2 linked regions of the Cricetulus griseus genome follow. The protein of the gene in region 1 purifies or fractionates together with the protein of each later gene. This does not show direct contact. Links are inferred from orthologs where the notes say so. Each region holds a gene or a part of one and is shown in the gene's direction. Other genes may lie near its edges.

Region 1 (3,510 bases):
TGTAAGTTCCAGTCCGGCCCAACTACAGAATGAGAAAAGATTATGCACAGGCCTAGACATCAGGTCAGGGTTACTCATGCATCAGATTTGTTGTTTTGTTTCTCTAGACAGGGTTTCTCTTTGTAGTTCTGGCTGTTTTGGAATTTACTCTGTAGACCAGGCTGACCTGAAAGTTCTGCCTGCCTTTGTCTCCTGAGTGCTGGGATTAAAGGTGTGCACCACCACCACCTGGCAATGAATGTCAAATTATTTTACTTCAGATTATCTGATACTTTGTCCTGTGAATTGTTTCTCTGTGTTCCTAGTACCCTCTGTCTGTAGGGCATTGTGTTTTTGTTTTTTAAAGTCATAGATGAGTGTGTTTCCAGAAATTCAGAGATGCCTTAGATGCCAAACCTCTTTTTGGCCAGCCACATTGGTATCAGTCTCCCTGCCCTGGCCTCCAAAGCTGATGTGTGTAAAGATGGACTGGCATGATGGAAGTATCACCTGACTCTCAGGTGTGTAGCAGCTGGCTACGCTGTGTGAGCTCCTCCCATTCTTAGCAGATGTTGTGTCTGTTGTTAGATGGAGGGGACAGACTTGGTGACATCGGTTCATAAGAACTTAGTGGGCTGGAGAGGTGGTTCAGTGGTTAAGAGCACTAGCTGCTCTTCCAGAGGACCCAGGTTCAATTCCTAGCTCCCACATGGTGACTCACAACTGTAATTCCAAGATCTGACATCCTCACATAGATATACATGCAGGCAAAACACCAATGCACATAAAATAAATATAAGTAATTTTTTAAAAAAAGAATACCACTTAGTTCCATGGGAAACAATACTTTCAAAGTCCTGACACTGCCTTTTCCCTTCAGTCCTCCCATTTTGGCCCAGGGATCCCTCTTTGCTTTTGTGCTTCTGAAATCAAATCAAGACTATGTTGAAAGTTCCCTCTATCTCCCCTCTACCTCTGAGATTGACTGTCTTAGTGGAAGCAATCAGCAGCAGCTTCCACCCTGACCTTAATCCTTCTGTGGCTCAACTAACCCCACTTGTACCCTGGGTTGGAGCTGACCCTGCATGTTTGTGGCACTGAAGATTTCAAAGCTCTTTCACGGCAGTTTTTCTGATGTTTCAGTCCAGGATAATCAAGTAGGTGCTTTCACATGACGTTTCATGAGGCACCAAGAGCTTTCTTCCCTAGCCACTGCCTGCTTCTAGCAGAGGACTGCTGGTTGGGTGCAAAATCATGAGGCTTCTTTGCCTTGAGGAACTGAAAGTTAATTTTTTTTTTAGATAAGGGATTCTGCTGTTTGGTGAAACATCCTGCCGAAAGCGTGTATGTCTTACATGAGTCATGCCATCTCCCTAGAAGGTCCCACAGTCCATTGCTCTTTGTCTCTGAGTGCTGTATTACCCTGTACTTCCTTCTCAGTTACATGGACACAGAGCAGTATGAAGAAGCTGTGCGGGACTATGAAAAAGTGTATCAGACGGAGAAAACAAAAGGTATGAAAACAAGAGGGTCATCAGACTGAGGGAGCTGTGGTCTTCTGGGTCCTAAATGTAAAATTGGGAGTATTTGATGTAGCTCTTAGGATGGACCTGGAGCTTATTTGATCACTAGCCTGAAAGCAATCAGTAGTTCCTGGGTGGGGACTTAGGCACCTGTATTCTGGTTCTAGCTCCTGCCTGTCATTTTCACTTCCTCTGTCTTCAGAAGAAAACACCAAAAAAGCCCCTTTTGTGGTTACCAAGGCTTCTCTACCCTCTGGGCAGCTGGGCTGGGACCCAGCAAGGGAAGCAATTGGATCTGTCTGTTGATGCCACCTGTCTCACTCCAGAACACAAACAGCTCCTCAAGAACGCACAGCTGGAACTGAAGAAGAGCAAGAGGAAAGATTACTACAAGATCCTGGGAGTTGACAAGAATGCCTCTGAGGATGAGATCAAGAAAGCTTACCGGAAGCGGGCCTTGATGCACCATCCAGGTGAGCTCTGCAGACAGGAGCAACAGGAAGAACTCACAGGGCAGATACAGTGGGTACCTAGGAGACGTGCTTTTCAGTGGGAAGAAGGGGTTGCTGAGCTCTCTGTCCTACACATTGTGGGAGGTGCCACATTCCAGACTTGGACATAAACAGACTTTGTTTTTCTGTGACCCTGGTTTCACTGAATCCTCTAGATCGGCACAGTGGGGCCAGTGCCGAGGTCCAGAAGGAGGAGGAGAAGAAGTTCAAGGAAGTGGGCGAGGCCTTTACCATCCTCTCTGACCCCAAGAAAAAGACTCGTTATGACAGTGGGCAGGACCTGGATGAGGAGGGCATGAATATGGGCGGTGAGTTTGTTTGGGCACCTGGAATGAAGAGGGTCCCTGCAAAACAGGTTTTTTTTTTTTCCCCCTAAAGCACCAGAAAGGGCCCTGTTGTTGTTACCAAGGCTTCTGCCCTCTGGGCAGCTGAACTGGGACACTCCAGAGGGGAAGCCTATAAGTGGTCAGCCAGTGATATAAGACTATTTAATAGGCTGTCAAAAAAAAGATGACCTAGGGCAGGAGCCTTCAGAACTGGTGTGGTCTGGAAGAAAAGAGCACATGCTAGTTCCAGGAGTCGGGATCTCCAGGTCTGCTACGTTGATTTTGGAGTCACTCAAGCGATAGAGTTGAGGCTTCTCAGTAATAGCCCCAGTGTTACAGGAAGGCAGCATAGTGCAAATGACATTTCTTAGTAAGGAGACAGTAGGCAGAGCATGTTGAGCAGAGGAGGTTTCCTTCTGGACAGCACCTGCCCTGAGTTTTAGGGCAGGGAACATGCCAGGACTGGCTGGGGTCAGCAGCAGGCCTGTCTGGGGGTGGGGCAGGGAGAGGTTTGTTAACATCTAGGCTGAAATGATGGAAAAGGAAGTGAAAATCGGACCCTTCTGATTTTTCCCTTTTTTGTCCCTTTCATGCTCCTCACCAGATTTTGATGCAAACAACATCTTCAAGGCATTCTTCGGTGGCCCTGGGGGCTTCAGCTTTGAAGGTGGGTATGCCTGCTGCTCTTGAGAGCTCCCAGGTGATGAGCCAGCACTGGCCCCTTGTTCAACAGGACGCTTATGGGCTCTAGTGTGGATGAGGCGGGACTTGGGCTTATCTTGCCTGGAACCATTCTCAGTGCACTTGGCAGGGTCAGAGATGCATCACCAAGTCCCTTGGTAGCAAGCCTTCTCCACAAGAGTAAAGGTATTCAGAAGCTACACACAAAATGCACTCCGGCCCAGTGGTAGGGTGCTTCTTGCATGCTTGCTAGTTCCTGCACTCATGGCTCAGATGATTTGGTGCCCTTGAAGTCTCTGTGTTTGGACTAAGCTGTCCTTGAAGACTTCTATAACAACCATGGTTTTCCTGAGGAAATCCACAGAGCAACTAACAAGACTTTCTTTTCCCTTTCAGCATCTGGCCCAGGGAATTTCTTCTTTCAGTTTGGCTAATGAAGGGCAACTACTCAGAACCCAGAAAATGCAGACTTGCTCAGTTTAACCATGA
Region 2 (4,199 bases), on another chromosome or scaffold:
GCCAGCTCTCTTGTTATTTCTCTAGGTAACATTGAATATTTCCAAGTGACTGGTTCAGGACATCCTCTGTTGAGCTAAAGGATCCCCTAGTCCCAATTCCATTTTGGGGGCAGGGGCTCAACTGTGTTTAGACAGAGCCCTTTTCAGTTCTCTTGGGGTCAGTGTGGTCAGGAAAACCAGAACACACACATCCGGATAGACCACCAAGAGAAGGCTAAGGTCATCTTTCTCACAGGTCTCGGGCTGTCCAACGCAAGGTTCAGCAGAGGCTCAGACGCTGCAGGGCTGCCAGAGAGGAGGTGTCAGCGTCATCCACTAAACAAGACAATTAGTCATCCCTTTGTCCCTGGTTTTTCTTGAGCACTTTCACAGATGCTGAGTAACGTCAACTTCCTATATACAGCGGCCATTCCGATTTCATAAGTGAGCACGACTGAGGCCAGAACGGCTACTTTACCAATTCAAGGTCACACAGCCAGGAAGTACTAGGATCTGGAACGAAGCCTACTCTCTCTGGCTACAGAGTCAAGGCTCGTGCTCTGACTTCCAGGTAGTTTCTCTCCCTGCAGGAACCAAAACCGACTACCCCCGCTTCTCTAAGCCTGGCAGTTTCAGAAGCTCTCTCCCCTTTGCTCTCAGCTGTGTCCTTGACCGCCATCATCCAAGACTTAAAAACCCAAAGAGTCAATTAACAGAGGTGCTCTGTTCCCCCACAGCAAGAAGCGCCCACGTCAAAGCATTCGGAAATATTTACGAAGCACCTAGTGGGTCCTGAAAAAGATGCACAGCCACGAAGCAAAATCCAATGTCTGCCCTGGTGGTGAACTCAGACAGCAAAGTGAGTGACATCTACCCGGAACGCCAAGAACCCGGCTAATTCCTCAGCAGGAAGTAAGGAAGCCTGAGTACCCGGACTGGGGCGATCCCTCGCCAGACCAGCCTCACCTCGCTTTACAGTAACGGCCTGTACGGAGCAACCGGCAGGAGAGGGTGGGGTGCGGACTTTTATCCCTGGGTGACAGCAGAGGGAACTTGGAGGGACGGGTCGGGCAGCTACAAGTCACCGGGCAGGACCGCCCAGCCGGTCTTCACCTAGGGACAGGGTGCGGCTTCGGAAGAGACCCGCCTCTGTAGCCCCGCCCCCTCCCCACGTCGTCACCAGTCGGCAGTGAGAGCGGGCCGCGATTGGCTGTCTCCACTGCGGAGGCGGGACCTCAGGCAGGGGCGCGCGCGCCCCAGGGAGGCGTTGACCAGGGTAGAGCGGGAAGGGGCGTGGCCTCGCGCGGAAGGCCGTTGGCTGCCGGGTCCCACCCCGGATGTTCTGCGTCACGGAGCGGCCGGCAGCGATTGGCCCGAGTGGCGCGGCGCGCCGGGAGGGGCGGAAGGTTCTGGAGGGCTGGCGGGATCTGGAAGCTTCCGCCGGACGGGTATATAGAGTCCGGGACAGGGCAGCTGCGGAGCCGGAGGCGGCGACAGCTGGGCGGCGGTGGCCATGGGCAAGGACTATTACCAGACGCTGGGCTTGGCCCGCGGCGCGTCCGACGACGAGATCAAGCGAGCCTACCGCCGCCAGGCGCTGCGCTACCACCCCGACAAGAACAAGGAGCCCGGCGCCGAGGAGAAGTTCAAGGAGATCGCCGAGGCCTACGACGTGCTCAGCGACCCGCGCAAGCGCGAGATTTTCGACCGCTACGGAGAAGAAGGTACGCGTGCGCGCGGCCGGGGGTGACCCGCCGTTTGACAGGCAGGGAAACCGAGGCACTCGGGGCCTCTCTGAGGCCTCGGCCCCGCATCGACGGCCCGGGGATCCGGCGGCGGTGCCGCCTCCGCCCTCTGATCGGCGGCCTCAGCCGGGAGGAGGAGCTTTGGGCGCGCCCGCCGCTCACACAGAAGCTTCTAGCACGTCTGCCGCAGCCCCTCCCGGCCGGCGGGCCGGCCGCCTGCACAGCGCCCGAACGCTGCAGACGGAGGGCGGCGGTCGCGATCGCTAGGGTGTGAGATTTTGAAAATCGCCCGAGTGTTTGTTCCTCTGGGCCCGCTAACCCGCAGGCTCAGCGCTTAACCCAGAGTTGAGCTGAGCCTTTCTGGCCGCAGTGCGTAGGAACTTCTCTGTAAGGTGTTACAGCATGGCAGAGAGGATGGGGCTGTCAAGTAGACCTGGTGGCGCCGACAGCTGCAGGCCTTACTACCGAATTGTCACGAAGTGAAAGGGAGTAATGTGTTTCCTGCTCCTGCTGCCATTGGCAGTTAAAGACTTGAGATTCACCTAGAACAAACTTAAAAATACATATAACCCCTCCCACTACGGTTCCCAGGGCTTTTTTTATTAAAAGCAAAACTTGTTGAGCCAGGTGCGGGAGCTCACACACCCCACTTTGGAGGCTGAAGCATTGTTGTGAATTTGCTTCAAATCTGAGCTACAGAATGAGCTCCTGTTTCCAAAAGAGCAGGATGTAGTGACAATCCCAGGTCTGGTATGTCTGAGTCAGGAGGATTGCCTCTAGGCTAACCTGGACTATTCAGCAAGTTCAAGGGCTATATAACATGACAGTCACCGGATCGCACTGTGTAGTTCAGGCTTTTATTTTTACTTCTATATATATGGGTACGTGTATGTATGTATGTTCACTGTGTACTTGCTTCGAGAGAAGAGGATGTTGAATCCCCTGGAATTGGAGTTAGTTGTCTGCTGTTGTGTGGGAGTTGATAATCGAACATGGTTCCTCTGCCATAGGAGCAAGTGCTCTTAACTTCTGAGCCGTCCCCAATGCCTCGTGTTGGAGTCCTGGCTGGTCTGGAACTTGCAGAGATCAACCTGCTCCTGTCTTCGGAGTGCTGGGTTTCCAAGCATTCGACACCATGTCTGGGCTTTCTATTTTAAGGATTTTATGGGTTTGTTGGTGGGATTTTTTTGTTTGTTTGTTTTGTTTTTTTCCCCCGAGACAGGGTTTCTCTGTAGCTTTGGAGCCTATCCTGGCACTCGATCTGGAGACCAGGCTGACCTCGAACTCACAGAAATCCACCTGCCTCTGCCTCCCGAGTGCTGGGATTAAAGGCATACACCACCCAACGCCAGGCTTGATTTTGTTTTGTAAATGTGTTAATTTATTGCAGTGCTAGAAATGGAAACCAAGGGCCTTGACTCTCCTACAGTAACTCTGATTTCTGATTTTGTTTTCCAGGCCTAAAGGGTGGTGGCCCCAGTGGCGGTAGCAGTGGCGGTGCTAATGGTACCTCCTTCAGCTACACATTCCATGGAGACCCTCATGCCATGTTTGCTGAGTTCTTTGGTGGCAGAAACCCCTTTGATACCTTTTTTGGGCAGCGCAACGGGGAAGAAGGCATGGACATCGATGACCCATTCTCGGGCTTTCCAATGGGTATGGGTGGCTTCACCAATGTGAACTTTGGACGTGCCCGCCCTGCCCAAGAGCCTGCCCGAAAGAAGCAAGATCCCCCAGTCACCCACGATCTCCGGGTCTCCCTTGAAGAGATCTACAGCGGCTGTACCAAGAAAATGAAAATCTCCCACAAGCGGCTGAACCCCGATGGAAAGAGCATTCGAAATGAAGATAAGATCCTGACCATTGAAGTGAAGAGGGGCTGGAAAGAAGGGACCAAAATCACCTTTCCCAAGGAAGGGGACCAGACTTCCAACAACATTCCAGCTGACATCGTCTTTGTTTTAAAGGACAAGCCACACAATATCTTCAAGAGAGATGGTTCTGATGTCATCTATCCAGCCAGGATTAGCCTTCGGGAGGTAAGGCACTAGGTGGGAGAATCATGAAAGGAGATGACTGCTCTGAGGAGCAGTGGGGGAGACTGGCTGGAGCTCAGCTGCATGGGTCTGGTGGACCTGAACCTTCTCTCTGGATGTTGGAGGAGTCAAGCTTCCTAAGCCAGCTTCCATCTAACATAGTCCTTTTGCTTTCCTAGGCTCTCTGTGGTTGCACTGTAAATGTCCCCACTCTGGACGGCAGGACCATCCCTGTTGTATTCAAAGATGTCATCAGGCCCGGCATGCGGCGGAAAGTTCCTGGAGAAGGCCTCCCTCTCCCCAAGACACCTGAGAAACGTGGGGACCTTGTTATCGAATTTGAAGTCATCTTCCCCGAAAGGATTCCCCTGACATCCAGAACCGTCCTGGAGCAGGTTCTTCCCATATAGCCACCTGCATTCTCCAAGGACTGAGCCAG

Evidence for each region. The genes of interacting proteins can lie anywhere in the genome.
Region 2: the proteins of Dnajc7 (region 1) and Dnajb1 purify together in Homo sapiens (affinity purification with mass spectrometry; 3 studies listed by BioGRID and IntAct, with this or other methods). This does not show direct contact. The link is inferred for Cricetulus griseus from reciprocal best matches to the Homo sapiens genes DNAJC7 and DNAJB1.

What each region holds. Positions count from the first base shown.
Region 1 is NC_048600.1:113,632,616-113,636,125, reverse strand, and holds part of Dnajc7 (dnaJ homolog subfamily C member 7), read left to right. Parts: intron 1-1,419; coding exon 1,420-1,493; intron 1,494-1,828; coding exon 1,829-1,975; intron 1,976-2,169; coding exon 2,170-2,322; intron 2,323-2,944; coding exon 2,945-3,007; intron 3,008-3,417; coding exon 3,418-3,455; 3' UTR 3,456-3,510. UniProt on the Homo sapiens protein: Acts as a co-chaperone regulating the molecular chaperones HSP70 and HSP90 in folding of steroid receptors, such as the glucocorticoid receptor and the progesterone receptor.
Region 2 is NC_048596.1:160,786,306-160,790,504, reverse strand, and holds the start of Dnajb1 (dnaJ homolog subfamily B member 1), read left to right. Parts: upstream 1-1,389; 5' UTR 1,390-1,492; coding exon 1,493-1,703; intron 1,704-3,182; coding exon 3,183-3,763; intron 3,764-3,939; coding exon 3,940-4,170; 3' UTR 4,171-4,199. UniProt on the Homo sapiens protein: Interacts with HSP70 and can stimulate its ATPase activity. Stimulates the association between HSC70 and HIP. Negatively regulates heat shock-induced HSF1 transcriptional activity during the attenuation and recovery phase period of the heat shock response.